Linked DNA regions of Drosophila melanogaster. The protein of the gene in region 1 interacts with the protein of each later gene in a biochemical or structural test. Each region holds a gene or a part of one and is shown in the gene's direction. Other genes may lie near its edges. The genes, in order: rhea and CalpB.

The links.
Region 2: of the proteins of rhea (region 1) and CalpB, one has a biochemical effect on the other in vitro, tested with the Drosophila melanogaster proteins (one study listed by BioGRID).

What each region holds. Positions count from the first base shown.
Region 1 is NT_037436.4:8,538,138-8,553,516, forward strand, and holds the start of rhea (rhea), read left to right. Parts: upstream 1-6,863; 5' UTR 6,864-6,952; intron 6,953-8,537; exon of another isoform or gene 8,538-8,738; intron 8,739-15,379.
Region 2 is NT_037436.4:9,887,019-9,904,225, forward strand, and holds CalpB (Calpain-B), read left to right. Parts: upstream 1-1,743; 5' UTR 1,744-2,265; coding exon 2,266-3,206; intron 3,207-3,272; coding exon 3,273-3,547; intron 3,548-3,765; coding exon 3,766-5,327; 3' UTR 5,328-6,301; downstream 6,302-17,207. Other genes in the region: Taf2 (TBP-associated factor 2), read right to left, coding at 1-1,321, 1,384-1,438, 1,502-1,551; CG6709 (uncharacterized protein), read right to left, coding at 6,302-6,446, 6,500-6,636, 6,691-6,762; Hez (hezron), read right to left, coding at 6,974-7,264, 7,326-7,514, 7,572-7,652; CG6707 (uncharacterized protein), read right to left, coding at 8,742-8,858, 8,940-9,104, 9,161-9,370, 9,436-9,617, 10,911-11,037; CG46387 (uncharacterized protein), read left to right, coding at 11,713-12,150; nudE, read left to right, coding at 12,987-13,066, 13,135-13,288, 13,405-13,678, 13,743-14,000, 14,325-14,416, 14,543-14,818. UniProt on the Drosophila melanogaster protein: Calcium-regulated non-lysosomal thiol-protease.

The sequences.
Region 1 (15,379 bases):
AAGTCCTCGCAAGCATAAACTAGAATCCCTGTCAGTTGCCCATCCCCATCTTCATCCTCCCATCGATGACAATGCGGCAAAAATGGCGCCACTTGGTCGCCAGAATGCGTGGGGCTGGGGAACGAGTTGGGTTCTGGTGAACTTTGGCCATAAAATGTAACTGCCAATGGTGGCATTGTGGGCAGGTCCTCTGTGGTCTGAGTACCCATTCCATCGCATTGGGGAAAATCCCAGGAAAAGCACAGCCAAAGATAGATGGACAGAAGCCAACGGCAGTCGCGGCCCATGCAATAAATTCTCTACGGGATCGGGGAATGGGTTACACAGTTCTGGTGTGCGGTTGGATGGTAGCTTCGCCTATGTGCTCCGTTTCCTATATACTTTCACTGCGCAGGAGCAGGACCAGTTTCCAAGTGGTTTGGAAGGGGGACTTGAACGGCTATTAACTTTTTATAACAGCCAATCGGCATGAGGCTTGCAAACAGAGAAAATGGTTTCGTGCCGTTGGGTTTTTCCAGCAGGGATGGGATGTGTGCACTGCAACAAAACTGACTTCATAGTATACGATTTACACACGGCAAACTAAACTAAATCATGATCTAGTACATGTTTTTTAAGTTCGTACTTATAGTTATAGAAACCCCTTAAAAGTTGCCGTAACAAATAACATTGATATCAATATTAAGGTAAATTATTTGATATGATGTTACTCAATGTAGTGCAAATGTACTACTCAAAAAATACATTACTGTGCAAATTAAAGTTTTAAAATAGAAAAACCTTAAGGAAAAGTCTTATTGAACCAAAAGTATGAAAAGGTGCCGACATGATACAATATATGCTATGAAGTATTCTGACTCTTATTACTTTGGAAAATACACAAACAATTGTTTATATTATAATATTTCTTGTAATGATGTATTAGAGCTATACTAAACAATTTTAAGACCCTTAAATTTACTAAATAGTTTCCAATCCATTTAACCATCCAGATCAGTTTGATTTCCCAAATCAAATGGGATGAGTAGCCGTGAAAGGATGTCAAAACTTTAATAATCCATATTGCATATTTACACATCTGTGGAATTTCAGAGCTCACCACAATCCATTAGTAAATGAAATTCATAAATCCCCTCCCGAATGTCCTTATTGCCTCCCTCTTCCAATCAGCAAACCGACAAACGAGGACGACAGTTTGCAACATTTGCCAAACATTTGAGAAAAAAAAGGGGACACATAAAATCAAAGTCAAAGTAGTTACGATGTAACGGGGTGGATCTGTCTGGCTATATCGGTGCGATATAAGTAAGTATCCTTCGATGTTGACAAATCCCCAGACCATGTCCTGCATATCCTGCCAAAGGAGGAGCAGCGGCAGCAGCGTGACAAATGTTGCGCAAACAAATGGATTACATTGCTACCACAGAGCAAGCTACCCAAATGCCTCGCAATGAATCATAAATTTCCATAACTGTCATCCGATCTGGGCAGATTTCTTTTCCTCATCGGTCGGCGAAGAAAGCAAATTGGTCGTCACCGGATTACGAACTTTGTAGCTAATCCGTAAATTGAAATTCGCTACGTAATTTGCTAATGACCCGAACGAGGATTAAAGGACCAAGTTGAAATTGATACAGACTCATCAAATTGTTATAGGAAATTTTAGAAAGAAAGTTTTCTAGCACTTGTATATATTTGTATATATCGTAATATATTACAGATGGATTTTCCATGTACATTTATCAAAGTAAATTGGCATTAACTGCTATTTCCCAAACTATAAATAGTGTTCGATCTATTCCAAGCGAATTTAAAGATTTATGAGTTGAAAGAATTGAATTTTTCGTTTCGCTTGATTTCTTTATCAATGATTCCTGCAGCAATTTAAAATCCTTCCATCTGCATTCCAACGAATTTAGAGCAGGAACACTCCCATACAAAGTGCAAGGACAATGGGAGAACTGCTCCTCGGCTGCTGGATGTTTGTGCAACTGCTTTAGTTTCCCGTGGCCATTAAGTCGCGGGTCGGCGGATGACAAAGGATAGTCCATTAGACACAAGTCACAATTCAATTGAAGCGAGCTGGCAAATGGGTGTCCCCCATTGAAACCCTCATCCTTCTGGGCTGCATTCTGCACTTTGAGTCCTGCGCCCTTTGTGATTCATTTTTGCAAGCGAAACCAGAACAAAAGTCGGGCCTGGATAATATTTTGCGCTTTTTGGTATGACGAATCCACATGTCGCACACGAATCGAATGGGCAAACTCGCCTCCTGGTCGAGGGGAAAGGCCCGGAAAAATCCGGGAAAACCCCCTGCTCCTGTCATCCGTTTAGCGGGCAATCAAGCGTGTAGGGCAATTCAATAAGCCGGCAGTGGTTGGGGTGCCACAAGCTTGGAGAACTTTATCAACACCCATGTCGGCATTAGTTTTGTTTACAAACTTTCCGTTGCCTTTTTGACAGTTTGCCCGGGGTGGACGCCATACCATTTGTGCACCCCCCACCCACTCCAAACATTTTCCCAGTCCACACTTTTCCGGGGTGGATTTTCGCTTGGATTTTTATTTATGAGCACTTAAATCGAAGCGCAAACTGAAATTGCACAGTGCACATCTACATAAATATGCAATTGCGGGATTGTGAGAAAGTAGTATCGCTGATAAATGATGAAAAAATTATAAATAAATACGGAATACATCGCTGCCCCTCCTCCTTGTTGTTATATGTTTCTTTTTTTTTTCCTTTTGCGATTCATCGCATCCCTCATGTAGATGTCACCCCAACCAGGTCCTTAGATGACAGCTCCCGATAATGGTGACATCAATTTGAAACTCAATTGAGCCTGTTCCGAGCTCCTTGATAAATGCTGTGCTATCAGCGCCGTTTATCGTCCTCAGCTTTTTGACTGGGTGCGACAAGTCAGCGAATTGGAAACGGAATTGAACAGCCAACCCCCACAAGGTGAGGGGTTCCATCGCCCTGGTATCCTCTGGCTCATCCATGCTCATCCTTGCCCAATCCTTGATCTCTGGGGCGTTGCGAGCAGTTTACATGTTTAATGCCTGCTTAATTGCTGCCTATGTCTCAGCGGGGCAGATCCTTTAGCCAGGATAAGCGGCCGTCCTGTGAATAGTGACATGTCAGCGGTCCCAGAAACTAAAATGAAATGCTCATTTCGGGAAAATTAAGTGAAGACTATTAAGATAAAATGCATTTCGAAATGGATGCTATACGTTAGAGTTTTGGTAAGGAAATGCACGATTTTATAGAGCGAATAAATTTGTTTTGAATATAAATATAGAAAAAATTTAATAAAGATACGGAAATATAGGTGTTCCTAGTAGTTCTTAGGAGGCATTAATCAAAAAATTGATCCAAGTTATTGAAAAAAATTTAATAAAACTTTCAATTACACGCTGCAAATAAACATTTTAATGCCTTGAAATGTCAATAAATGCCTTAAACGAATGGAACTTTTAACAAGCTCACTGCACCACCTCCTCCACTTGACACCCCTGACTCCAAGCCAAATTCCAAATCCTCGGATACGAACTCAACCTCAACATGGCCATTAGGCCAAGTCGGTGCATGGCCTCGCCAGGATAAATAGACTGTTGAGTCATTAAACAATTTACGCAGCCATAAATTTACGCAATTTACTTAGTGCGCAAACACACACATCCCGCAGGATGCCGAATGTCCTGGACAGGGCAATAAAAAATACCCCTCCAGCCTGGGCTGGAATCGAGAAACATTAACACATCTGGCCAGATACAAAGTGCTTGAGCTTGGGCTTGGGTTTGGGTTTGGGTTTGGGCTTGTGTCGTCCGCCTGAGCGATTAACTTTTTGCATCCTTCACACTTGGCTGGGCGAGTTAACCCAGCGTCATCATCTTCATCATCTCCTATCCTGGAGCAAGGACATTGCCCACGCGCCGCTTGTTTGCATTTTTATTGCCACACGCTGCGGGGTTGCAGGATGTCGATTTTCAGCACGGCCGCCACGAAATTTTAATGAAATCGTCATCAATTAAAATTCGCTCTCTTCCATGTCCATGCCCCCAGACGCCAGTGACAAAGGCAATGACAATGACACGGCACAACACTCCAGTTTCACATTTGACTGCACTCAGAGAAATGAATTCTCTAAAAGAAACACAAATAGCTATAATGGATTGCCAAGGTCTTCCAAAGTCTTAAAGTATCTAAGATTCAAACAGATTACATTTCATAGATCAGTGAAAGATGCTTGCATCAGTTTTAACATAACTACCATAAGTTCTTATACTAAACTCTTTCTAAAGTCTCAATGATTTCTTCCTGTGCACTCCTTTGGGCTTGTTCCATCTTTTTACGACCGAGACGTCCATCCGGGCACTTCCACGAGCTTAGTCTCGGATTGCTTATAGGATTCTCCGGCGCATAACTCGCCATACTCGTGCCTGGGATCGTTCTCAGCTATAAAAATAATTTGTGGCCAAAAACTCCCCTTCCATTCAGCTTCAATCCCGATCTCGAATTCATCCAAAAGGGGTTTGGGTCGTACGGCTGCCGTCAATTTGTAGTCGTTTGCTTGTTTTTCCAGCCTCGCCCTAATGGCTTTTCATAAATTTTTATTGTTCTCAATATAAGTTTTTCATAGCTGCCCGCATGCAAATGTCCTTCGAGTGCTTCGAATTTGTGGGGAATTTGTCGGGCAATATGAAAACGAGTTTACGCCTTTCCAGAATGCTAAACAAATTGGGGAGAAAGGACGGTTCACTTTATAATTGTGAAGCAAATCGAATTTAAAGGTTTCGAAACGAATTTCCCAACAATTGTAAGCGGAATCTACACTAAATAATACATTTATTTCTAAATTAATGGGTATTAAGAAATGGATATGAATTTATTTCCGTTTTTTGTTTAGCAATAATTTCTAAACATTTTGTAAGTGTCTGGTACTAGTTTCTAAAAACAGAGAAGCAATTACAAATTTCAAGCAATTAGTTCTTTTGAAAACACTCAAACTTCTTGTCATCATAAATTTCTACGTTTTTCAAGTTTTTCTAGTTTTTGTTGTACTTAAAATATGAAAAAAACTTATTATATTTCAACCAATTTATTCGTCTCCAAAGAGCTCAGATTCATCCGCAACTAGAAACCAGAAATGCATTCGGAAAACTACAAACTCAATTAGATGGCCATAAATCTCCGGCAGAGTCAAGAACCCTCTAAATTTTGGTTGATAAAATGCCGAAATTATCACGGCCCAAGCACATGATATATGGGCATTCGGCTTGGCCGGTTTAACCCATTAGCCAGCCGGAAGATCGCTCAATTAGCGTTGCTCCTCGCTGCTGGTCAGTCCCAAGTCCCAAATCCCAAGTGGGTCACTCGAGGAAAGGATTTGCGAATCGGGTTTTTATTTGCCATTACCGAAAACCAAACTCCCTGGCCTCTTTGTTGGGCCAACAAAGTGACATAAATCTTGGCGAGCGCTGGCACAAACTCAACCGGAACTAAAGCAATGACGCAGCAGGAGCACCAGGACACATGTCGATGCGTTCTGCTCATCCATTTCGCTTGCTCCTCCTTGGCCAGCAGTCATAACGGGCGTGTGTGTAAAGCGAGTGTGCCAGTTCCGAGATTTATCGGCCCGAGGGGTGAGTCCATATCTGCACATCCTGCATCTTCTATCTGCGTATCGGTTTGGCAGGCCTCGAATCGCGGGACATCAATGCTCAATGCCCAATGCCCAATGCCGGATGCCCAGAACGACAGGCGTTCGATTGAAATTAATTGAATTTGCGCCCAAGCCACGAACTTGACTTCGTTTCAAGAAATTTCTCAAGCGCGCAGGGGCGGGCATTGTGCACAGAGAGAAATTTTTATATGAAGAATATAGTGTTTTATGTATGAAGGTTTTCTGAAAGTTCGCTTTAAAATGTTTCTCTTGAAATTTCCAATAATTAAATTCAAGTTTGATAGTAGCAAAAGGAATGTTTATCCCCCCCTTTGATAATTTTGCAACTTGTCTTTAATTACTTCTCATTTTTTAAGAGTGTTGCGAAAGAAGGACCGTGGACGCTTGTTTCCTGTTTATGCTCGAGATGTTTTGCAGCATAAATTACGCGTACACATATACCCATGTATTCGCGCATATGATATCCTTGACAAGTCGAGAAAGGAGAAGGGAAAAAAACAGGAACATTAAATTTATTTTTATTTCGCTGCCTTATAGGGAAAGCAACCCCAGTGAAAGGGCCCCCAAAGACGCGCGCTATGTGCGGTCCGTTGACTTTGGCGAAGTCATGAATTCGCTTGCTTATTTTTATGATTTTGGCTAGTTTTTGTTTTTCGGCCCTTAGATTGCTCGTCTATTTTCTGAGGGTTGTAAGTTGCACACTTGGTTGCCCTCCAATCGCCGAAATCAAAACGGAAACGATGATCGTCTCGGAGAAAATTCAGGAAAGCCAGACAAATTTATCAAGTTTGTGTGGGGGTGCGCTTTGGTGGGGCTTGTAACCTTCATTAATCATGTGGATATGTTGTTTTTATAGGATTCGACTACAAATCGCTTAATCTTTAAGCCTTGTTTTAGTTAGACTGCATTAGTTGGGGGTTTTATTTTAAATTTGGCGCTCATGCCTTTACATTTGGGGTGACCCTGCACTTAACAGTCTGCCATTGGCATAACAGCTCTGTGTGCAGACTACTTTTTGCTTGCCGTAGTAATTTCAAATATTATAGAAGTATAGGCAAACTATGATTAGAACTTGTAAATTTATATATTTTTTATTTATTTTGTAATTATGTGACCCAAACGCTAATTGGTTCCGATAGCCGCAATGACTTATCGATAGCTGCTTGACGCACGGTCACACTGTCTTAACTACGGAATATTTTGTAAAGTGTTAGTTTTATTTACTCGATTTTAGCTCTCTTTAAGCCCTTTTCGCCGTGTGTTTCTGTAAGTTAACCAATGTTTAAAACCCCAAGTGCACAAATCAGTTTAAAGCCCCTTTCCCGCGGCATGAAAACGCGTCAAACAAAGCCAGTGGAGATTCAGCTGCGGCCTGGCCAACAAGAACTCATTTCGATTCGTTCGCACATTTTGTTGTTGCCGCCTAGTGGGTGCTCCTCCGGGGTGGAGTCATCATCGTTATCCCTACCCCCAGTTGTTGGCGCCGACTGTCCGGATTTTGGTCTCTCCCACATGTCCCGCACATTTGTTTTTGTCGGTCACGCGAATTCCGCCCTTTTAACCAAGTTTCCAGTGTAACAACAAAAGGGGGCAAAAAAAGGGAACGCCCGCATTTGTATGTTTGTTCGTTTGTTTGCTTGTAAGCATCGTCTACGTTTTATGCTAATTAAAGTGCAACATTTTTTTTTTAGCCAAAGCTGCGAATATAATTCAATTAACGAGAGTCCAACTGCGACTGCCTCGCATTATCAGCACAGCAGTTGGTTTGGTTTGACGGCTTTATCTGAGCAGCTGGATGAGCGTGCAGAATAGCATGGTGTATATGTATATGGGGTACATTCCATACGCGATAAGATAACCCCCGGTTGCTGAAGAAGAAGAAGAAGAAGCGCCGGATTCGCGGGAGTTGGCAATTGCCTTCAATTCTCAAGTTAATTGTGGAGTTAGCTGTGCAACTGCAACCCTCAAAGATCCGAGACGAGGACCCACAAGACTCGTGCCTACATCCCGCTGTCAGTGGCATAGAGATTCACTCTTCCCGGGATCAGGCCCTCAATTGCGTCAATAATTGGACCTAATTGAAGTCAACAGGCTATTATTTTGCCTCCTTTGTTTATGCACGTTTTTGGAAACTGTTGTATTCAATTATTTCAACTGAGATTGAAATTTCTCATGTATTCTGTTTGTGTAAGAGTTTTAAATGCAGATACTTTCCTAAAAAGAGACTGGTCCTGTTTAGATTATAGTATCTATAGAGATTTGAACCCATAAAGATTACGTTAATATTGTTGATTGTTTAGAAGCATTCCTTTTGGGGAATAATCTAGTCCGTCAAAGAGTCATTGATATTATAGATAAGAAATGTTTGGGTCATATAACATCATCAAAACAAAACGTCATTACCAAAACATTTCAAAATACTAATACTTACAACGCTCCAATCGCTTGACTAGCTTAGCCCTTGAAAAGCAGGAGTAATGTCCATTTCTTAGAAAACCCCATGTGACTAAGCGCACTTCCTCTTCCAATTTCTCGCTTCCTCTCTGCTCACTTTTGAGAAGAAAGAAAGAGCCATAAGTTGGGCAACAAAAGATTAGTCACCACTGGCACGGGTCCATCACCTTGTGGCCACTACCTTCTCCTCCGCTGCCCCTTCATTTCACCGCCCTCCCTCTGGCTGGCACCTTTTGTTTTGTTTACATTTGCAGACGGCGATCAGGAGAATCGGAAGAATCAGAGAGGAGAGAAGCCTAGCAGCAGGTGGCTCTCTTCGCGGCTCTCCCATCTGTTGCTCATGCTGCTCACACTGCCCATGGAACCGAGCGAACCACTCGCTTCTATGGCCCGCTCATTCGAGTTTCGTCCGTCGTCGGTGCCAATTCGTTCGATTGTGCCGCGCCCGATATCGCTATTGAAATATATATATATATACATATATCTACCCATATATATGTATAGGCGATTCGTACATATATGAATATCGCATATCGTGCATATCGTTCAAGTTCAAATATCAAAAGAGTTTCCAGCCCAATTGTGGGAATTAAAGAAGGTATATACATGACGAGAGTGCGCGGTCATAAGTGTGTGACATATGGTGTTATTTTTATCCATTCCGAGTGGAATATGTGCCACAAAAAGGCAGTTCCATTGTGTAACTAAGTTCAAACGCCAAATGCACGTTGCGCCTGCGCGATGCGCGCCAAAAACCCATCGGAAAACCCTTTTCCCCATTTCGGATGTCGAGCGTTTTAGAAAACAAGCTGAAAATTACCTCATCGCGCTGCCGGCGCCAGCGTCGACGTCTGCCGTTTGATGTCTGCCCCTGACTACGCTGGTCCACAGAGAAAAAATTTGGATTATAATAGATCACTAGGCTATATCTTATGACGTGCTAGCGAAATCTTAGGACTAGTCAGATTAGCATAATTCGCTTTTCACGATGATGCTTTTTTTTGTATTTGTATATGGATATAAACCTGAGCAAAGGGTTCCATTCAACAACAATGTATAGTATTTGATTATGTAATCAAGAAGTACTGCATTATTTATATTACTGTTTATCAAAAAAATACTATATTATTCTCTGTGTACACAAACATATAGATATTTCATTCTATATTTCTTGCTTGCCTAGCAGCTGGCGGCTGGCCTCCCACTCCCCTCCTCCACAAATGCGATTTATCTTTAAGATACAACGTACGCTAAGATTTGTTTGGTATCTGTACGTAGATTTATTGTTTTTTTTTGTTACGCTCTTTCCTCGCTCTTCTCTTCACCGATTTAAATATCTCGCGTCTTTCGATGTTTTGTCATAATTTCTCTGGCTTTTGTCCTGTTTTCTACACATTTTTTGTCCGATTGTTTGGCAAATTTCGCCGTCGCTCCATTTTGTGGGCGTATTTTGTATATTATTTATCCATTATCTCGAAATGTCAATGCGCTCGTTTAAAGCTGTTGTTATTTTCAGTCTCTCTCACTTTTTCGAGCGTTTCGACCTTATTAGCAGTGGGCTTCGGTTTTGGAATGCCCGCCACATAAACACGCTTCGGAAACATAAAGAAATCGAGATCGGAGCTCATTTTCACTCCATGCTCCACTGTGTGGGCAGTGCATCGGCTCCACATCTACCAAATATTTCGGACGTAGACGTGGGGACGCTCAGCATCCGCCAAGATATTAGTACACTTCACAAATATTAATGCTCAAAGATCTAAATATCATTATCAAAACATTAAAATATGAGTTTCTTATTTGGAGAATGCATGTTACTTTGTTCTTCTGGAATTCTGTTTTCTACTGACCCATTGTCGTTCATAATAAATATTTCAACACTTTCATTTTCTCCTGATAAGATCTTTACTACATGTTAAAACACTCGAAGGAAAATAAGTATGAGAGTGTTCCAATTTCACCATCTTATCTGCAATTCGATTTCCTCCTCAAAACTCAACTCATGATATATGTACCTATTTCTAGGCAAGCTGATATCAGTAATGTCTTTATACTTCATTGTTTGTATATTTGTATCCGTACAATCCAATGATAATAATCCACATGTTTGGAATGTTGCTTAGACCTCGATTTACTATATATTTATAAGCTATTTATAGCAATTATCCAAAAAGTATTACCCGGAATTTGTTAAGTGATCCGCGTGCACATTCGGCTCGGCTGGAGCGGCAATTCATTGAGCAAACTGATTTGTAACTCGGTCACTGGTGGAAACACTGGTGGGCAGCAGCTTGTGTTGCCCATTTTGGGGCACGTTTCGATTGCCAGACAAGTGACTGCATTTTCCACTTGTATCTGTTGGATAGTTTTTTTTTTCATGGTTTTGCATACTTTTCGTTCGCCGTTTTATTAATTGAGCTGTATTCATTAATTCTTTGCTTTGCTTTGGGGCGAGACGAGTGCAAAGGTCTTCCACTGATCGCTGGCCATACAACTTTCGAATACGAGATTGATGTCCCGGGGATGTTTACGCAGCGAGGATTACTTCATAATTTCGGGACTAATTGAATTGGTTTTTTTGGGCAAGCGTGAGATGGGAACTTTTTGATTGCTTGGTAATGTGAAATGACACTAAAATAGGGCGTGAAAGTTAAAAGTGTAAAAATCGCTTATGAACCGTTCAATATTTATTCACCCATGTTACCTCTGTTATATATTTCGATTTTTCGCCCATTTGTTCGATTTACTTTTCAAGCTCAATTAAAATAAATTAAGCCACCCGTTCAACTCGTTACAATATCGAAAAAAAAACTACTGGCGGCAACCAGAAGAACAAAAGCAAAACGACCAGCGTAATAACAATTAAAAAATAAAAATAACAACTGGTGTGTGTGCTCTATTTTCTTAACGCCTCAGCATTTTCAATGGTTTTGTATTGCACTTGAGATACATGAATGCATACATGCTGAATATACATTGGCTATATATAGCTACACTGGGCAAACAAACCATCTACAATATTATTGATCTTGTGTAGAAGTCCTAAGATAACACTCAGATATGTTGTAACTTAGGTTCTGTACCAAAGTCGTATATCTATTAAGATATGAAGAACATACTTTTCTGCTTAGCGGTCATGTTTTCCCTACAACTATGCAACTTGATAAACGTTTTTGAGAAAATCTTAAATATTGTTCTCTCTGTACAACAGATACAGCTACTTGGGGCTGATGTGAGTTTATGTGGGCTTAATGCTGCCGCACACATGTTTCGCTTTTTCACCGGACCTGAATCAAACAACCGAAATGCTAAATAAACAAAATGGGCCGCAGAACTCAGAACTCGTAGATGATTCCATATTGAGTTCGATTGGCCGTAGCGTATTGTGGAATAGTTTATTGTTTTGGAATGTTTCTTAATAACGCGGAACTCGAGTGGCGGAGGTGGAAGCACCGACCAGAAACGACCGATCTGAATCGGAATCTCGAACATTTCCATCTCGACTCAACTCGATTTCACTCGATTCGCATTCCGTTTTCGCACGCACACTCATCGTTGAGTCATTAAGAATCGCTGGCAGGAAGGAGTAGAGATGGAGCCCCTTGTTTACTATTAATGCTGATAAAGAATATGCATTCGCTTCTAAAAATAAACGGCAAGTATTCATTCGCATTTGTTGTCTGGCCATCGGCGGCATAACGTTTATTGTCACCATGTTTGTATGCAAACAAACGCATGCGAAGATTTATGCAAAAATTTTATTTTTTTTCCCCATCGACCACTGGACTACCGAACTTGGCGAGAGATGTGTACGTATCATTTTATTTGTTTCGTTTATCGCCGATGGCAGTGGGGATTGGATTGGGTTGGGCTCCACCGATCGGGTTGCCGCCTCCTATATCTCACGGTGGGTGTCGTAAATCCCTGGCCGATTACGTCAGTAATTCATTGGCGCTTTTTTTTTTTTGCCGGAGAGCCTGAGAGTGAACACGCATTTGGGCACTTCATCAATCTGTCAGTCCATCAGCGAAACGATTCGATGCGGTCAGTCGATAAGTCCGCCTTGGCATTCCCATTGCAATGGGTTGCGGTTTGTCACACACCCCCTGGATTCCCGCCGTGTGGAATTGTAATGAAAAATTGATGGAAATCTTGAGGATTCCGATTTTATAGCCCCATAGCGCCAAGTGAAATTTCTCTAACCGAAACCATTAGACGAACAAATTAGCATACATATTTTGATTGATTGGTTTTTAATTAGTGACAAAAAAGGTTCTATGCTTATGAGAAATATCTGAAACACATGAGAAATGTGTATAAGCCATTTTAACATTTAAATTTGAACAAAACATAAAGAACTAAATTTTATATCATCATGGACTTTTAAAGCGATATTTATGATCCGTGACTCAGTTGCGTTGAATCTAGAAAACTTTCTTGTGGACCTTGGCCGTCATTAAGGAAGTTATAGTGTAGTTAACCCCACATTTTATGCATTCCTTTCCCGATTTGATTATCTCTCCTCTGGATGGCTCCCCTTTTCCGGCGATTGTCGTGTCCATCGGCAGTTATCGCTAGGCTTGGCCTTGCCTCGCAATTTATTTCCATCTGGCTGTGGGGATTGGGTGGCTCTTTTAATCAATGGAACTGCTTTGTGTGTCGCCAGTGGCAGTGAGTGAGTGTGAAAATAAAAATTCATTTCTTATTCGGCTTATTCGAATGCATTGGCATTCGAGTGTTTGAGTGCTGCCCCTCAAAGTCAACTCAGCTGCAGCAGCTTCTCGCCCCTCTCGCAGGGATGCCCCTGACTATTTGTTATATCGCTATATATAGAAATACGCACATATAACTTTGTATATATGGTGTATGGCACTGTCGCTTTTGGCACTCACTTGTGCGAAAATCCATTGGAGCCCGACTGGCGGGAGCCTAATTTTTTGCCGTCTCCGATTGACGATGTCGGCTGTGGATGAGGGGCAGCTTACGGGTGGAATGGGAGAAGTAGGTGGCCACCGGAGAGGGTGACTCAAAGAAAAGAAGGGGGGCTCCTTCTTAAGTGGGTAGGCAGTGGCATGGGAATGGAACTTGGCATCCAATCATAAAATTGCTTGGCAATGTCTTTCGTATGTAGATGGTGTATGAGGCACGTTGAGAACAGGAAGGAAGGAAGCTAAGGCAATCCATGTTGGCAGGAAATGTGAAATTTGTTTGGGGGGAATATACACTGAAGTCGGTAAAAGTGCTGACTAAATATGTATATTCACGAGCAGTATCTAAAGTTAAAATCAGTTTGTATAAGATTATGTAAAGTAATATAAGAAGTCTTCTCAACTCTGATTTTTTTTTTAAATCACAGCATATACATTTTCAATTTCTTTATCTTAACAAAGGAGTATACATACATGTATAATCTCTTTATTCTTAGATTCTTAGAGTTTGGGTATCATAAGCTGAGCTAATTACACGCACGCTCCTTTCCAAAGGATTTATAATTAGAGCATTGATCCTTATCACTTGGTTGACATAATTTGGACACATTATGGTGTGCCACCACCTTGATGATAATTGAAAATTACAGGGCCATCGAGACCTTTCAGTCAACCCGATCCCATCCAGCAACCACCCACTTGCAGTCGACTCCCCGTTTTGACGTCACTTCTGTCGTCGCCGTCGTCGATTCATTCGATTTGATTTGTTTGTTTGCCTTACCCACCCACCCATCTGCCCATCCATCCATCCATCTAGGGATCTCCATCCATCCTTTGGTCGTTTGTTCGTTTGTTTATTTGTGTATTTTGTTACTTTTAATGCATCTTTTATCTGGATTTTGCCATCATCATTGGCTGCCCATTGTTGTTGTGCTGGCGATGCTGATAGCGATACACAAATTTGAGCCCCATTGTTGGCCACATTGCTCATTGCCCATTGCCTCAGCGGAGTTGCCCCAGCGACGATGGCTTGTTTACTCAAATTACAGCCGCAGTTAGGGGTTATCCAAGGTGCACATATAGTCCCTGTATGTCAAATCTGCCAAGTTGACCCCCGTTGTGAGTTTGTGAGTACTGAACTGTGCGGACTGTGCTTTTTTATCGGGCCACTCAACTTGGATAGTTTTCCATGGGGAAAATGTATTCGATGAAAATGCAAGCTCAAGGAGAATATTATTTCAAGTAAAAAGTGTTTATTGGCGATCATTTGAGTTGAGTTGAATGAACCAATCCGAGAAAAAGAAACGTAGGAACGTGACTGTTGTTTATAAGTCGTTTAAATCTGAACGAATTCGAGTTGAATGTGCAAAATGTTCAAATAAACAATGTGGGCAATACCTTTGTGGGCATTACAGTAAACAATCGGGCATTTCATTCGATTCTTTAAGCATATATGAGCTCCTTTGCTCTTCTGTACTTCTCATTGCACTTTAAATCGTTTTAAATAATTCAAGAAGCAATCTTTATTCTGACTTCTTTAAAATTCGCTTTATAGTTTGAATCAGTGCTTTTATGAATGGACACTCAGTCAGCTTACATAGTTCTACAGAATAAACTATATTTTTTTATGGGGAATCCGTCTAGCTTTTGACTGCCATAATTACGCTCATTAGGCCATTTACAGTACCTTGTCACTGGATCGTGACACATTTGTTTAACGATCAGTTTTTTTCGCTGACCACCTCGTCAATTTCCGCTGACATGAAAAGTGAAATAAAAGTTTTTACACGAGTCGTTTGATGATGCTGAGTTACATTATTCAAGCGCAACCAAAAATCAAGCGAGTCGCCGGTGGGCATCGCGCTCTGCGGCCATCTGTTGGACCTCCAAACTAGCCCGTGTGTACTACACATAAATTGAAAATTTCTATAAATTCAGCTATGACTCAGGGATCGAGCAAAAAATAAGCAAATGAATGAGCCAAGAGCAGCAGCATCATCATCATCACCGCCACCAGCCAAGTACAGTGAAAGCTCCACAGAGAGACCCTTTCGATGGATCAAAGATCTGTGTGATAGGTGAGATTCGGCTAGCAAAGAATTGACTGTGTGTGAAGATTCGGTGGCCGGCTTCTTGAGATGCTCAGCTTATCCGCTTAGGTGGCAGCGTTCTATTTCCAGTGTTGCATGAACATCGTGCCACAGTTTCTGCTCAGGGGGCAAGTGTGATCCGTAGGGATTGCCTTTTCTCACACTTTTAGTTTCGAAACTGTTCATTGATTTTATATTTGGGGGCGCATCGAATAGAAAAT
Region 2 (17,207 bases), 1.3 Mb from region 1:
ACACCTGAATCAGCAGCTCCTGCCCGATGCGGTTCTCCAGCATCCGGATTACGAAATGCGCTTTCCTTCGCATCGCCTCCACATACTTCGGCGATACGGTGTGCAAACTCTTGATGGGAAAATAGTGGACAATCTCCTGCTGTTTGCTGGAAGCCGCCGATTGATTTGTGCCCGAAACAGGCAAAGGAGCTGGCGGCTGACTGCAATCGAGAATAATGCCGCCATACTGCTCCTCGTAGCGAACGACACGCGCCAGTTCAGATTGCACCCAAGCACGGTACTCGTTGTTGCCGAAGCACTTCCTGGAATACAATCCACACAGGTACTCCGCAATGCCCTTGGCCAGCCAGGTGTCCGACCAATGATGGGATGTAATAAAGCAGCCGAAGAATTGCTCAGCCACAGCGCGCGACATAAAGGTTCGAGATATATAGGTCTGATCGATGATAGCTATGGAGTGCAGCAGATTCACCGAAGCAATGCTCATAGTGGCATAGGCACTTATGTCCGTGTCCAATTCGTCTACAAACACTTGTTTGTAGCAACTGAATGGGTAGCGCGTAGATAAGGTCTCCTCGTAAAATTCAAATGCCTCGTGCAAATAGCGAACCGTATTTTTTAACAGCGGCAACAATCCGGGCAGACAAAAGTGGGTCACTTCATGCATGTGCGGATCCACGTAGATCTCAAACTGACCCACAGCCAGCGCAATATTTGGTGCACATACTGGTGTGCTAACCGAATAGTGGAAGGTTTTCTTTCGCAGATCTGGGGTCATAATGACTTCTAGAAGTTCTCCACACGAAACGGCGGTCATATTTTTGTCGACAGTGAACTCCAGCCGCCAGGTGCAGGGATCGGCGAAACTGTCCACGCAGGGAAACCACAATCTCGACGAGTTTTCATAGCAATTGGTGAACATATGCGAGCTGTTCATCTGTGTCTCCTCGTCCGTTGAAGCGGGTGGTATGACAAAATGTACGCCGCATTTGGGATTCTCCAACGAGAACTCGATGCGGATGCGCAGACCCTGACCCTCCTGGATCATAGAGTAGCCCTCGGGCGGAACCTGGATGAGCAGTTCGCCGTTGTTCACATCGGGATCGGTGTACTGGGCGGCGGTCAGATGATGCTTGGAGTAGACCTCCAGCGCGCGGCTCTTGTGCTCCTTGTAGCAGATGTTCTGGAAGGGATCGAAGTACGTGAAATCCGCCTGGCAGACATCGTTCAAAACGACGCTGTAGATTCTCAGCTGCTTGGCATTCAGGCGTATCAGGCGCAGATTCTCGCTGTTCGGCACAATGGTCAGCTCGACCACGCCCTAAAGGGAGGAGGTGTGTTATGTTTTGTACATATTTAAGTGTATCTAAGTTATATCCTTACGATTATGCTCCTCCGCTCGAAACTGATGCCCGTGAGGCTCACAACCTGATGCGCCGTGCTATTCAAAAGGGAGAACTCATTATTTTTGGATTCCTAACAGAGCAGGGTGAATACTTATAATTTAAACGGTCGCAGCGGCACCTCGGGCACCTCAGGTTGCGTTTCCATCGCTCAAATGCCGGTTCTGCGCCAGAATTTATTAACTAATTTGCGTTTGTTATAAAAAAAAACACAGCACTGTTTAACTTCTTCTTCTTCTATTGAAAATGCCGACAGGGCTAAAAAAATACCAAATTCATTCGGATAAAGATGGCAACTCTGCGCGACAATGTAGCCCTGCTCGCCTTTTTTTAACCCTCGAAACGTGTTGGGTCTTCAATATTGACACTAATTTAATAGTTTACGTTCGTAAACAATATAGACTACATAACTACTTCTCTAATACCATAAAAATACATTTTTTAGAAAACTAAAATTTATTAAAAGCTATATTTGTTTTTATTGAAACTGTTTAATAAAACAAAATTAATATTTCTATAATATATTTTCTGAGTTAATAAATGAATTAGAATGTTATAAATATTTCATTCTGCATTTTCAAAGCTTTTTTGATTGCACATGCATATTCAAAGAAAATTTATACAGAACGCGCAAGGGTTAAAGATTATGAATCATTTACCGAGAAAGTTAAATTTGGATACTTCTCCCATTTAAAGCGTACGATTCTCAGCGAGTCAGCAGTTTTACCACGGCAGCGAGTTAATAAACATCTGGATATCATCCAGTTCCGTAGTTTTAGCCGATTTGCAACGCCATTAGTAGTTAGATTTAGGGAAAAACCAGTGCGTGGACGAGGAAAACCACAGCGAAAAACCAGTAAAAATGTACGGCATTGATAATTACCCCAAGAATTATCATGCCAGTGGCATTGGCCTTGTCAATTTGGCGGCCTTGGGCTACAGCAAGAATGAAGTCAGCGGCGGGAACGAAGGAGGAGGAGCTCCCAAACCCAAAGCGGGTCTCTACCCCTCGTTGCCCTATCCATCATCCGAATCCGTGGGCGGAATGCCATATGTGGTAAAGCAGACGAGTCATGCCCAGAATGCTTCGTATGCGGGACCCACCATGGGCATGGGAATGCCCGTGCCAGAAGCCCCCTCAGCGCCGGCTCCATACCCCAGTGCCACGCCATACCCTGGATCAGGACTTTATCCTAGTCTGCCATCAGCCAACGTATCATCGCTGCCGTACCCCACTGCGCCTATGGCGCCCTATCCAACCGGAATGCCCTATCCAACTGGCATGCCGCAGCCCAATCTACCCTATCCGGCGGCTCCGCTCGCACCATATCCATCTGCCATGCCCGGTTTGCCCGGTATGCCAATGCCGTACGCTCCCATGCCAACGAGTCCGGCTCCCCAGCACAATATCGGATTCCCAGCACTACCATATCCCACGGCACCGCCACCGGAAAGTGCTCCAACCCAGGAGGAGGAACCTTCCGTCGGCGTGGCCGAGCTAAGCTTCACCAGCGTGAAGGTGCCCGAGAACCAGAACATGTTTTGGATGGGTCGCAAGGCCACTAGTGCCCGGCAGAACAGCGTAAGCAAAGGCGATTTCCAATCGCTGCGCGACAGTTGCCTGGCTAATGGAACCATGTTCGAGGATCCCGATTTTCCGGCCACCAACGCTTCGCTGATGTACTCACGACGACCGGATCGCTACTACGAGTGGCTGCGTCCCGGTGACATCGCCGATGATCCGCAGTTCTTCGTGGAAGGCTATTCACGATTCGATGTGCAACAAGGAGAACTTGGCGATTGGTAAGACCAAACGCATTAATAACACATAAGTGGACATAAATTCAAAAATTAAATATTCCTTCACAGCTGGCTACTGGCTGCAGCTGCCAATTTGACGCAGGACTCGACGCTCTTCTTTAGGGTAATCCCGCCGGATCAGGACTTCCAGGAGAACTACGCTGGCATCTTTCACTTCAAGTTTTGGCAGTATGGCAAGTGGGTGGAAGTGGTCATTGATGACCGTCTGCCCACCTATAATGGCGAGCTAATCTACATGCACTCCACGGAGAAGAACGAGTTTTGGAGTGCCTTGCTGGAGAAGGCTTATGCAAAGCTGCATGGATCTTATGAAGCACTCAAGGGTAGGAAATGGAATATTATCAGTATTTGTAGAAGCGTAGAAAATTTGTGGCATACCAAAATTTATTTTAGTTTCTAAAAATACACTATGCTTATCATATGTTCTTAAAAAAAAATAAACTAATGTGGCACTTATCGCGGTTAGGACTTTGTTGAATAGATCTGAAATTTAAATACTTTCATTCTAATAATTTTTTTGTAACCATCTCTTCACGATTAGGCGGCACCACGTGCGAGGCCATGGAGGACTTTACTGGCGGCGTCACCGAGTGGTACGACATCAAGGAGGCGCCCCCAAATCTATTCAGCATCATGATGAAGGCCGCCGAGCGTGGCTCGATGATGGGCTGCTCTTTGGAGCCGGATCCACATGTTCTGGAAGCGGAGACGCCACAAGGTTTGATTCGCGGTCATGCATACTCCATTACCAAGGTGTGCCTCATGGACATATCGACGCCCAATCGGCAGGGAAAATTGCCCATGATACGTATGCGTAATCCATGGGGCAACGATGCCGAATGGAGCGGTCCGTGGAGCGACAGCTCGCCTGAGTGGCGATTTATTCCGGAGCACACGAAGGAGGAGATTGGCCTGAATTTCGATAGGGACGGCGAGTTCTGGATGTCCTTCCAGGACTTCCTCAATCATTTTGATCGCGTGGAGATATGTAATTTGTCGCCCGACTCGCTGACTGAGGATCAGCAGCACAGCTCTCGCCGCAAGTGGGAAATGTCCATGTTCGAGGGTGAGTGGACATCGGGAGTAACAGCCGGCGGTTGCAGAAACTTCCTGGAAACCTTCTGGCACAATCCGCAGTACATCATTTCGCTGGAGGATCCCGACGACGAGGATGACGATGGCAAATGCACGGCTATTGTGGCCCTTATGCAGAAGAATCGACGTAGCAAGCGCAACGTGGGCATCGACTGTCTGACCATCGGATTTGCTATATATCATCTCACAGACCGTGACATGCAAGTGAAGCCCCAGGGACTCAACTTCTTCAAGTACCGAGCATCGGTGGCGCGTTCACCACATTTTATCAACACGCGCGAGGTTTGCGCCCGGTTTAAGTTGCCACCTGGCCACTACCTGATTGTTCCATCGACCTTCGATCCGAATGAGGAGGGCGAGTTCATTATTCGCGTCTTCTCGGAGACAAGGAACAATATGGAGGAGAACGACGATGAGGTTGGCTTTGGCGAGACCGACGATCGCATTGCTCCGTCTCTGCCGCCACCGACTCCAAAGGAGGAGGATGATCCGCAGCGCATTGCACTGCGTCGTCTGTTCGACAGCGTGGCTGGCAGCGATGAGGAAGTCGACTGGCAGGAGCTGAAGCGCATCCTGGACCACTCTATGCGCGATGTTATGGTGGGCAGTGATGGCTTCTCCAAGGATGCCGTGCGTTCGATGGTAGCCATGCTGGACAAGGATCGCTCCGGTCGCCTTGGTTTCGAGGAGTTCGAAGCTCTGCTTACCGATATTGCCAAGTGGCGGGCGGTCTTTAAGCTATATGACACCCGTCGCACTGGCAGTATTGATGGATTCCATCTGCGCGGAGCACTCAATTCGGCTGGCTATCATCTGAACAACCGGCTCCTGAACGCCCTGGCCCATCGCTACGGATCGCGGGAGGGACAAATACCATTCGACGATTTCCTGATGTGTGCCATCAAGGTTAGAACATTCATCGAGATGTTCCGCGAACGGGACACGGACAATTCGGACACGGCCTTCTTCAACTTGGACGACTGGCTGGAGCGAACAATTTACTCTTAAATTACTTGCAATTGCTACTAATCTAATCCTAAGTGCGACGTATACTTAATCTACCTGTGCATCATATTATTCATGCATTCAAATGAGAAAGCCAACACACAAATCCATGACAATGCGATCCGGCGATGCAAAGAGATACACTCACTGAGCCAACAAGAGAATCTTATCTATATGACCATATCCGGAAATACAAATCATGTGGCGAAATTGGAGTGGCCTTGGAACGGCACGAGGTTGCTACGAGTATGCACGGTAAACAGTATAAATCCCGCATACACAATTCAAAAAATTAACGCTATAGATTTTTTTTTACCATGCTGCGCAACTGGAGGGATGACTAAGAGCAAGCATCAATAGCAAATCCACTCCATGCACCTCGTCAAGAGCCGGAAATTTACTAGTACAAACAGTGCATTATTACCTTACAATCGCTATGAGACGCTCGGAAAGCCATTAGAACGCATCGACAATATTTATTAGATATACGGAATGAATAAGCATGTATTTTTGTAACATCGTTAGCTCCGAGCAGTCCACATATTTGCCCAGGTGCTAGAAATAAGTCCAGCCAAACTCTGTTACCCAAACAAACGTTGTTATTATTATCAGGAAAGTAACGCGAAGCGAACAAGCCAACCAACTCATCGAATATTTATAAGCTTAAGCAGAATTTCAGAATATCAGTCAATTTATTGAATCACATCAAAAAATGTAATACGCATATATTTTGTATTTAGTTTTCAGATCAGTAATCTCAAAACATACCTTAATTAGGCACCCTCTATGTCAAAATAAGTGTTTAACTAACTGAAATTAACCAATCGGGTTTAGAGGCTCTTTTTGTTGGATGCTTTTATATTTTACTATAATTTTTGTGAATTAATCAAAGTTACTCTTGTATGCAATTGTTACTATTAATAATTTGTTGTCCGACTTTTTGTATGCATATAAATAAAATGCAGTGATGATTCAATCTACTTGACGACTATAACTACATCAGCACCATTCGGGACGCCAGCATCGATCATTATTTGCTTCATTTCATCTATAGCCAGATTGTTATCGGATGCCAAGTTATTTAGGACCTCGAGAAAGTCTTCGTACTCCAAACGCCATTTCCTGAAACATGTATTTGATTAAGAATGATATGTAGATTTGATGTAGTTACTCACTTGTATCGCATGTATATTAAACCGGTCTGAGTTCGAGTTATGGGATTGGGCATGAGCTTGGCCTGCTCTAGCCAGGCGTCCAACTGCGAGAGGAGTATGCTGTCAAAGTACTCGTTCTCGATGTCGGTGGGTATGACCTGGCATCATTTAGATGAAAATTACTCTTCAATTAACCGGGTCATTCATCATACCTGGAAGTTGGAATACACCAAGAACAGGCTGTCCAGCGTGTGCTTCTTTGGTTTATCTTCATCATCGGCCATCGTGTATTATGTGTGTTGGGTGTTGTGGTGTAGTGTATTAAATCGAATTTGTACAAACGAGAATGGTTTCCCCTGGCAGATAAAGAGCAGTATTCTGTGTGGGTGTCATGGCTATATGTATGTGTATTTTGAATTGTTTTGTTGATAAACAAAACGTACAGAGAATCGGATGCTATCTAGACAACTGTTGCCATGGGCACGGGCCATCGTTCTAGAATTGTTTACTGCAAAAGTTTTGAACGACCTCTTGGACGCATATCGCCAGCTTGGGATTCCAATCGAGGTATCGGATATTCTCCGTGGCATACGGCGCATCGATGACCACCTGACGGAGTATATTGATCGCCACTTGGTCGCCTTTGTTCTGCCAGATGATAGCGGGATCACCGAATCGCTTGACTAACAGTCTGAACAGAGCTTGACCAAAGGGCGAGGCATTGGGATGATAGCTCCGGCAGGAGAGCGTACGATGTTCGGTTGCGTATCGGTATCGTTCTCGGATCTGCAATTGCAAATGGTTGAATGGGGTTTCTTTTAAATATCTATATAGAGAGTGCTTCTACCATGGGCAAATCAATCGGTTCTGGCTGTTGAACTTCAGCCGGCGGAATTGCTTCCTTTACTATTTCAATGTCCATGCACAGGGATAGGTTCACAATGGTCACATTGCAAGTGGTCTGTTCGTCGCCACCGCCATTGCTTGATGGACACTTCATTATCAGCATTTTCACGCCCAGATCGAAGGCCACAACCTGGGAAATTGAAAGCATTACATAATCATAAAAATAATAAATAATATTTAGTTTTACCTCGCCCGAAATGTTGTCGCCAAAACAAGTCTTGCAGCGCACAATAGAGCCCACAGTAAAGCAAGGAGCCAATGATGACATCTTGGCCAAGGAACTTAAAAACTTTAAAAATGTAATCGAAATCGAAAATCCCAGCCGATGTCCGATGTCAAGTTCAAGGCACTCTATTCTACTTTCATAGCCTTGTCATTTTGTCGCCAAAAAGTTGGTGGTGCTTGTGGTTTTATTTCTTTTTATTTACAGTGTATGTATGCTAATTTATAATGTACTAAATATAAATGTTGTTGTATATATATATATATATTTCAAAAGTAAACCGTTCCTTTTAATCATATATATATATGCAATTTCGCAGTTTAGCAGTTGCTGTCTAAATTAATTTTCTTTATATCTGCATGAGCGTTTGCTTGTTCTCTGTTGTTCAAGAAATGTTGCTTTGTTTATTTGCATTATAATTATGTATTTATGGTATTGTATATGCGCGTATGTGTATGTACCTTCATTAGCACTATTAGCATACCCTTCAAATTGTTTCTAACGCCAGGCAACAAAACGCTTTCCTCCGCTTTGGCGAGAACTGAGAAAAAGTGCATTGGTTAAATTTTAGGCAACACAAAACTCAAAAGCGTATCAACGAATACGTAATGTATGAATACCGAAATATCTTGCAGGACAGGCACGAACGGATAACAAATCGGACACTTAAACAACGAAACTGTACAATCTTTAAAATGGATCCTGACGATTCTAAAAATGAGATGCACTGTGGATTGATCGGTCGCTGGTCTAATAACTAATGACTGCCAACACAGATCGGGGTTTTCCTTTTTTACTTTTAGCACTTGAATGGTAGCTGCACGGCGACCCTTGAAATATTCGCTTTTAGTATAGTGTTTAGTTAGTTACGGCCTTAATATCCTAATTATGCTCTTCAACGGGGAGACCTTCTTTCGTAAATTTAGCTAGGTTTGCTATTAGTTTTGCTCGAAACGAAGAATTTTTGTATGTAGCTGAACTGCTGGAGAAATGTTCATATGTTCCGTCTGCAAATTGGCTGCTTGTGTTTAGTTTTAAATTTAATATCAAAAGGAATGATATATATGAATAATATATATATATAAAAATAAAACAATGCACTTTCTTCCTTGCTACTGGCCCCGTGCTTTAGCTTTACATTGGCCCATCGATGGCGCTCACTTTAAGGCGGAAATAGTAGGCGGACCTGGCCAGCATGCAACCCGAAATCACGAACAGCGCCACGTAGAGGAAGTACATGCCACCATGATCCTGGAAAAATGCAAAAGGAAACACACATATGGGTTTAGAAAATCACATACTTCAGCTTGATTTTAAATTGATTTGGCTTACCGAAGCAATCGAGTATGTGCCGATAGTTACAGCGATGCCTGTGATGAGGAACACCAGCGCCACGATGGCGAACATCACGGCGCGGCTGTTGGCAAAGCGCGAGCCCACCGATGAGACCTTCCTGCAGTGTGGACACCGGGCCAAGGCGTTGTGATACGTGTTGAACTGTAAGAGCAAGCGTTACAAGACTCCTGCTGCTGTGATTTGGATTAATAACTCACCAAAAACGTGTCCGAACAGTGGCCACAAGTGACGCGGCACATGCCCGGCATGGTTGGCACGGGCGGGGTGACGGGACTTGGGGCCAGGTTGATGATCCTCTTGCAATTGGGCCTTGGACAAGCGATTCGCTGCGACGAGCTCTTGCAGATTAACAAACAGTTGCATGGGCAGCGAACATACTTCTTGCCCGCTGGAGCGTTCCGAATGGGCTGTTGATAGCCAAAAGCGTATTAAGTTACAATTGGATTCAAAGAATCTGCTTAGAATTACTCACAGTAGCCTCATTGCAGTGGGTGCACTTGACCACGTGCTGCTCCCGCTTCGTGGTGATGTCAATCATGTGTTGACATACCCGACAGGTGACCATCGGGACGCCTCCGGTGTTGGTACTCTGCTGATACGGCGGCGGCAGCTCATCGGGTCCAATGCAAGGCACTGCGGTCGGTGCTCCATTGCCTAAAATTCCATTGCAAAGTATTATTAACTACTTATAATATTGTTAAGACCCATGCCCTTCAAAGGCGAGACCTTTGGTGTAGAATAAATACATCTCGCCAGCAGAGTTCGCTCAACCACACTGCTCATCTGGCGGTGATTGGCTCATGGAGGGAGTGAGAACTGCATTTTCTGATAGTGTGCAGTGTGTGGCTCTGGGAAGCTGCGATAAACCAAATGGGTCAATGTTTTGGCGTTATGAATGCAGCTTTCTCGTACAAGCATTAAACTAGTGCAACTAGACCGCAGTTGTGGTTCTCGTCTCTCGATCAAAACAAGTTCGAACTTTGTGAAAGACGTTTTTAAATGAAAACAACGCAAAGAGTAACATCGCACACACTCTTTAGGAAAATTGATATGAAGTGGATAAATTGCAAATAAAGTCATATTACTTTGGCTAAATAAATATATAATGTCAAAAAGAAAGGAATACAGAAAGATAACCTATGCAAATTAATTGGGAACATGGAAAGTCGTAAAGCCCTTGTAACTAAACTCTTGTATATATTAATGATATGGACAAGCTTTTTCCGAGCTGAAGATCAGGTTCCTTGGTAAACAATGGAACCACTGCTCATCGCAGACCCTCATTTTCGCCCTGTATTGCGATAAGGCAGCGAATGACATGATGACTCATGGACTCATTGACTGCCCCCGCTTAACCACCACTATAGCAACACCTCCGAATCGATGCTGATTAAACAGCTGTGGGGAACGCTTTTTGCGCTGATTACGAGCGTCCTAGCATAAACAATAACAAAGGCGGTGCAAAAATTTTGCCGATACCGGCGTCGAGTAACTAACTACAATCGATCTTTACATTTTTGGCAGCTCTTCACAATTTCGTGATAAAATTACATTTTTTTTATGGTGTACGTGGCCCATTTGATATTTAGGCCAATAAGAAAATTTTATATTAGGTTGTAAATTTTTGGTAATACCAATAATACTGGGCCCTATTAAAAAATAAAAAAATGGCAGATAATTTAAAATGGCATTTGGGCACCACATATCCTATCAGTTTTTCTTTCTGTGCAGTCCCATTGCTCTCCCCCCGCACCAAACCACACGCATTTATGACTCAGTTGGGTGAAGTGTGAAAATGCCAAATGAGACGGCGAGCAGACAACTCGGAATCACGGCGTTGGATCCGGATAAGTGGAGCGCCCGCACACTTGTTGGGCTTCCAATGGGTTGCCCGCCCGGCTGATTGGATGCGGGTTGAATGCCCGGCTTTACAGTAACGATACGCACCGTCCTCGTTTGTGGCCACCGATGAGTTGCTGCCGGGATTATCGGCACCCTCGTCCACGGCGTCCACGGAATTGTAGCCATTGCCGTCGTCCTTGTTGATCAGGCTTTGTCGCTCTGGATCCGCCATTGTGGACTATCTTCCGATAAATGGATATTTATATGTGTGGACTATAATCTCTATATGCTGGAGCAATTCCCGTTAGGCTGCACTTCCAGTTGCCTTTGTTTTGTTGTTGCTGTTGCTGCGGGGGCTGCTGCAACGCGTTGATTTCAACTGGAAAATGAGTGGGAAATCCAATAGTTTAGTTGCTGTGCCACATAATTTCGGACGCAACGAGCTCTTTGTTCACGATTGCCGCAGTAGTTTGGTTTTTTTTTTCTTCGTTCGTCGCGGTTTTCACTCGCGTTGATTGAAACACATCCTCCCTTTTTTCACTTTTCGGCATGCGCCGCAATTAATCAATTCGATGATGCTGCATGTGCAACGCCCACGCGAGCTCGATTGTCGCACTCACACAGTTGACATTTGGTTATAATACTGGCAATTGCGTTAATTGTTTAACAATTGCTGGCCATAATTGTGCTATATTTTACCTTATTTTTGTTGAAAATGCACTGCAGTCGCTGCGATCTGGCCACACTCTGGCTAGCTATCTGGCAACGATGTCCCGTTTGAGATTTTTCAGTTGCGGCCCTGCCAGGGAGTTGCCACATCGTTGTACTTGGTAAAGAACCAGAAACAGATCAGCGAAAAATTGTTCATTTTTGGAACCAAAACAATCCAGCGCGGCTTAAAACAAATATGTCTAAAATCACGAAAAACTCCAATAAAATTGACAATAAGGATTCTGTAAGCGGGGAAGGCTCAAATAGTGGGGACGATAACACGTCCACAAGTTCAAGTGACTTTGAAACAAGCAGAAAACACAAACTACGCCGCAAATCCTGTCGAAATGTATCATATCATTATCATGCGCTGCCCATGCGCGTAGTTGGCGAAAATGTTGCAGCACTGCCACAAACTCCCAGCTCCACTCGTGATTTAACACTAAGCTCAGCTCAAATAATTGAAGATAGTTCCGACTCTGAGTTTCATATTTCGGACGATACCAGCAACGATGCGCCGGCCAACAAATCGATAACGTTCACAGCACGTCCATTAGAGAAATATGATTTGGAATATATAAGAAAACTACGTAAACGCAAAAAAAAGCCGAGTAAAACTTTATATGTTGATTAAATTTCAAATAACAACTGTTGACCAGGGCTGGAAACGGCAAATGCCCATCTATTGGCCAACACTGGCAACCCAAGCCAGGGTTGGCTTGTGCGTTTTTGGAGTAGTGGTAAATTTTTACGAGCATAACTATTTACACTGATTTTATGTAAATAAAACAAACAAAACGTAGCAAAATTAAGTGCAAAGTGTAAGTAGTAAATGTGGACAGTCGTGCTGTATAAAATTCTAGGTATAAACACTGGAATTCTACGAAAAAATCACCGATGATTTCATTTCCATGCAGTGCGTTGTTGTATGGGAAACTTCGTCGTAGCTATTTGTTGTTGTTGTTGTTGCTGCTGCTCATCACCATCATCCTCGTTGTTTTCGTTGTTGTTGCCGCAGCAGCTGCGTCACAAAAATGAGTTTTGTTTAATTTGATTTTATTTACATTTGATATGGACAAAACCGACTGCCCTTTTAGGGCATCGAACAAGAACAACAGCAACAGTAACTACAAAATTCAGGGCAAACACCTGTTCCTAATTGATTTTTCACTTTTCTTCGCCGACTTCTAGTCTATTCACCACCCCCAACACACAAAACAAAAAAAAAGTAAAACTACGACTTGAACAACAACTGTGTTTTGGCATTTTAATCACAGCAATTAAAAACAAAGCAGCCAAAAAACACGAATAAATAACCCAAACAGTAATAGACCAACCGTAGTACATAGCATTGTTCAGAAATTAAAAGTTAAATCAATTCGAACGAACGAAATTACAAACCCATTTTGACCGCCGATTAGTACACAAAAACCAGAAAAAGGAGTTAGCAGCTAAGGAAAATTTGCAGAAATGGAGTCGCCCCCGATGTTCAATAGTGTGGAAGATGAGTGCAGATATTGGAAGGAACGATCTAAGCAGTACCACAAAGAGTAAGTGCCCATCCCTATTACAGTCTCCGAAATCAGCCATATAGCCTAGTTTTACTTTTAATTTTCAGGTGGACAGACGTGAAACAGGAGTACGACGAGTTTGTGGAGCAGTCCCGCGAAATGGAAATAGAAATGGACGCCACTCTGGACCAGAAGCAGAGTATAATCAAAGATCTCACAGCCAAACTCACAATGTTTGAGCGGGAAAACGAGTCTCTCAAGGTAGCTATAAGCTAAGCCCGATTTACACAAACTGAGCTTAATTCTTAGACTCAGTTTGCGTATATGTGGCTTTGAGCTCCCGACAAGATTAGTCTTTACAACTATTTCATTCTCAGCTCAAGTTGGAATCGCATGGCATCGATATGTCAAACATGGAGAAACAGCTGGAAACGGTGAAGAAGGATCGCGACACCATGAAGGTGTACCTGCGGCAGCTGGAGCAGAAAAACGACGATTTGGAACGTGCCCATCGCATACTTAACGAAAGCATAGAGAATTTCGAGAAGATGCTGGATCAGGCCTACGAGAAGAACGCCCTTCTGGAGCTGGAAGTGGATGAAAAGGGATTGCTGCAGGAAAAACTACAGCGATTAATGGATGAGACGAGAGGTGGATGCATCTATACCAGATGTCCAGCACAGACTTTAAAACTAATTCATCAAATCTATTGCAGATCTCAAACAAGAGCTGAACGTCAAGTCACGCTTTACCCCAGTGGTCAATGGAACGAGCGTTCCCACGGCAAACGACACAAATACGGTCAACAGCTCGATGAACTCGTCCGCCTCGCTGCCAAATGGTATTGTTGCCAATGGCGAATTGGTAAAACACGACAATGCTGTCGCCACAAGAGCCACCAGCGTCAGCGTCAACGCCCTCAATGGCAGTTTAGTTAATAGAAACGAATATAACCAGCAGCATTCGCTTAAGAGTAAGATACTAAGTTCCCTAAAGAAAACCAGACGCGCGCTAAAACTGTCCAAGACGAATCGCCAAACGTTCAAGCCATGCATTTAGTATTGTTTTTCCATTTGTTTCTTTTTTACTTGTTAACCAAAAAATGTAGCCCGCTTAAGTTCCTCATAATTTGTAATTGTATTGTAAATTATTAAAATTAAGAGCCCAAATGTGACGAAAGAGTTTGCAACATTTCTTGTAGGCGATTTTTGTACGATTTGTGTTTGCGTCTGTAGCTAGTAGTTGACCTAACTAACCTCTCGACTAACATGCTGTGTACGTGTGCTTCCTCTTGCAGATCCCGAGAATCAAATCAATGGCAATTCCATGAACCCCAGCTCCCGCACAACGGCGCTCAACATTGTGGCCGACATGTTAAGAAAACTAAACGTAAGTCCCTCCGCAAACTATAAGTCCAGCATGCCATCCTACCTCATCCATTGTTTCGTATGTACATATGATCCTTGAACCCTTCACTCCCACCATCGGCTTATGTGTTTTTCCCTATGTTTTTAGTGGGACAAGGCACTGCTATGTCCCGAGTGCGAAAAGTTTCGCTGCATGTGTGAGCGCCCGGCAAGTGTGCAGCCGCCGCCGCCGCCATCGGCCAGCGAGGCAAGTCTTTTTCGCCGCGCCTTTGGCGGCAGCAGCAGCTCAGTGGCCACCAGTAGCGCCCAGTCCACGCCCACCAGCGATTGCAGCTCCGCCGGAAGCCTCAGTGCGGGCTCAAACATTTTTAGGCGCTTCGCCGAGCGCATGCGAAACTCGCCGGACGCCAGCCTGCCGCTCTGACAATGCGCTCGGAACTTTAAGGCTAATTTTAGTTGCCCTCCGCTTGCATTTATTAATTGCATTGGTTAATAAATACAAAATTTATTTGTACCTTATTTTATGTTCTTTGTTTTTGTTCGTTATGATTTATTCAGTTTCGAAAGCGCATAATAACTTGGCTTGCTGACTAAACTCTGCACTGGGCAAACCGTTGCGAAATGAAATTTTCATTAATTTATTTATTATATGATGTGCCCAAATCCTTCTATAGTTAATTTTTCATATAGTTCACTGACTGTTGCTTAATCCGCTCTCGTTTTGTGTTTTTTTTTTAGGCGATGGAGACGAAACTGAAGACGTACCGCGAGAATGGTCAGCCAATGCCGCAGCGACACCGCTCCTCCCAGCAATCCACACATCCGGCGCTGGCCGGACTGCCTTGCTTCTCGCTGGATGCCGAGTAGTGTGGATTCTGCAGTTCAGCGTGATCCACAAACCCCAAATCCGAAACCCAATCACCTAGGGCGGGATACTGTTCAGTTGGCTTTACGTTTACGTTACGTTACTTTAATGTTACTGTTCGCATTAATTAAGTTTCTGCTGCCTCTTTATTTATTTGAACTAAAATGACTTTGTATAAACCACTTGCGATATTATGAATTACACAACAGTTGATGTTGTTGTTTCGAGCCCAACATATATAACATGCCTTAGTACGAATTAAGTGTATACCTAAGCTATAAGTACCCACTCGGTTCACTTTTGACTTGAATTGTTAACTCGAACGCAATTGTTTTGGCATACAATGTGTTTAGCGACTAAGTTCAAAGTTGATCAACCAGCAAAACAAGCGAAGAAGCTCTGTCCAAGTATTATACTTCAAGCGGACAACCAATACTCGTAGCGTTTAGGAAAAAGACAAGATCTAACCCGGGAAAAAAAATTATTAAAATTATCGAAACGATCATCTAGTTATATTGTAACTATCCCCAGAGCTATTTTCTGTTTATATTTACCAGCGAATATAAATTTGTAAAAATGCAAAATATTGCTAACGGCAAACTGTATAAAGCATAACAAAACTCCAACGAACAGGCAAACAAAATATATATATATATGTATGAATAAAGAGCAAAATAATTAGTTTAATAGAAACCATCCACAAGCACATCAATGTCGATGCCGTGTGTGTTGCAACTAATTAGTTTTAAATAATATTTGAGTTCATTACACAAGTTGAATGCTGCGTCAATTCCTATGCCAAGGCCGAATTTTCATATCGAGAGCTTTTCGCAGGGGAAACTTTCCCCGTTTTAGACCCATTTCATTGCGGATTTTCCCGGAGCTTTAGCCCCAACCAAAAGGATGCTGAGCTCACTGAGTTTGTGGATGGAGTCGGCTGGTGGACGCACAGTGCTCCATGGTGGGCAAAGTAAACTGGATCTGATGCCGACCTTGCTGGCGAGAAGGTCCCGTTGGCGGTAAGCTAATGAAAGTACTTTGGTTTTTATAAGTAAGCACCGGGTGGGTTAGCGTCGTCGAGTGCTTGGCATTAAGCGAGCCATGCTAGCTGGTTGGCTGGAGAACTAACTCCTTTCCAGATGCCAAATCCGCCACAGCAAATGCAGCGAGGGAAAAGTGAAGTGAAAAATGAAAATATGACACAAGCTTTTATCATACGCATAGCACTTACCAGGGCAAAAAGGGATGGACTTTCCTGGACCTGCCTGGTGTTGCTGTTGCTCTTGTTTGCTGCTGAGTGCATTGTTTGCTCCCGTGGGCGGTATGGGCGGTCTAGGTGGTTGTCCAGGGGGCGTGGCAGTGGCCATAAGCGGATTGGGAATGGCACAATGCAATTGCCGTTTGAAATAAAAGTGAGCAGACACAAAGCCAGTCCTGCATGAGTGCACCGAAAAACAATTCGGATGCATCGGTTTATTCGATTTAGTTATGCAACTATTTATTTATTTATTTACTATCAATAAATGTGGGAAAATTCCTGTTTTGGATAAAATAATAGAATAAAAGATAAATTGGTACTTAAAAGTACCATTTTAAGTTCTAAGCATAATGTTTTATATTTTTTTTTTCTAAATAAAGTTATTGAATAATATTGAATTAAGAAGAATTTTGATATTTTTCTAAAAGTGAGTTGCTGACGATAAAGCTGGGAACTGAAGGTTATTCCCTTCCTTGGTCGCCCCTTTTTTTTTCAAAAGTAATTTGAAGAATCTGCCTCGTTTTTTTGCGCCGAGCCTGTCGCCTGATGAAGTCCCGCGGGAGGGACGATCCCGGGCAGCTAATTAACTGGCCGCGAATACCATTTGCCCAGGAGCACAAAGGCCAACAATCAGAACCTGGCCAACAGTTCCAATAAGCGGGTCAAGCGCAACTGCGAGCGAACCCGATT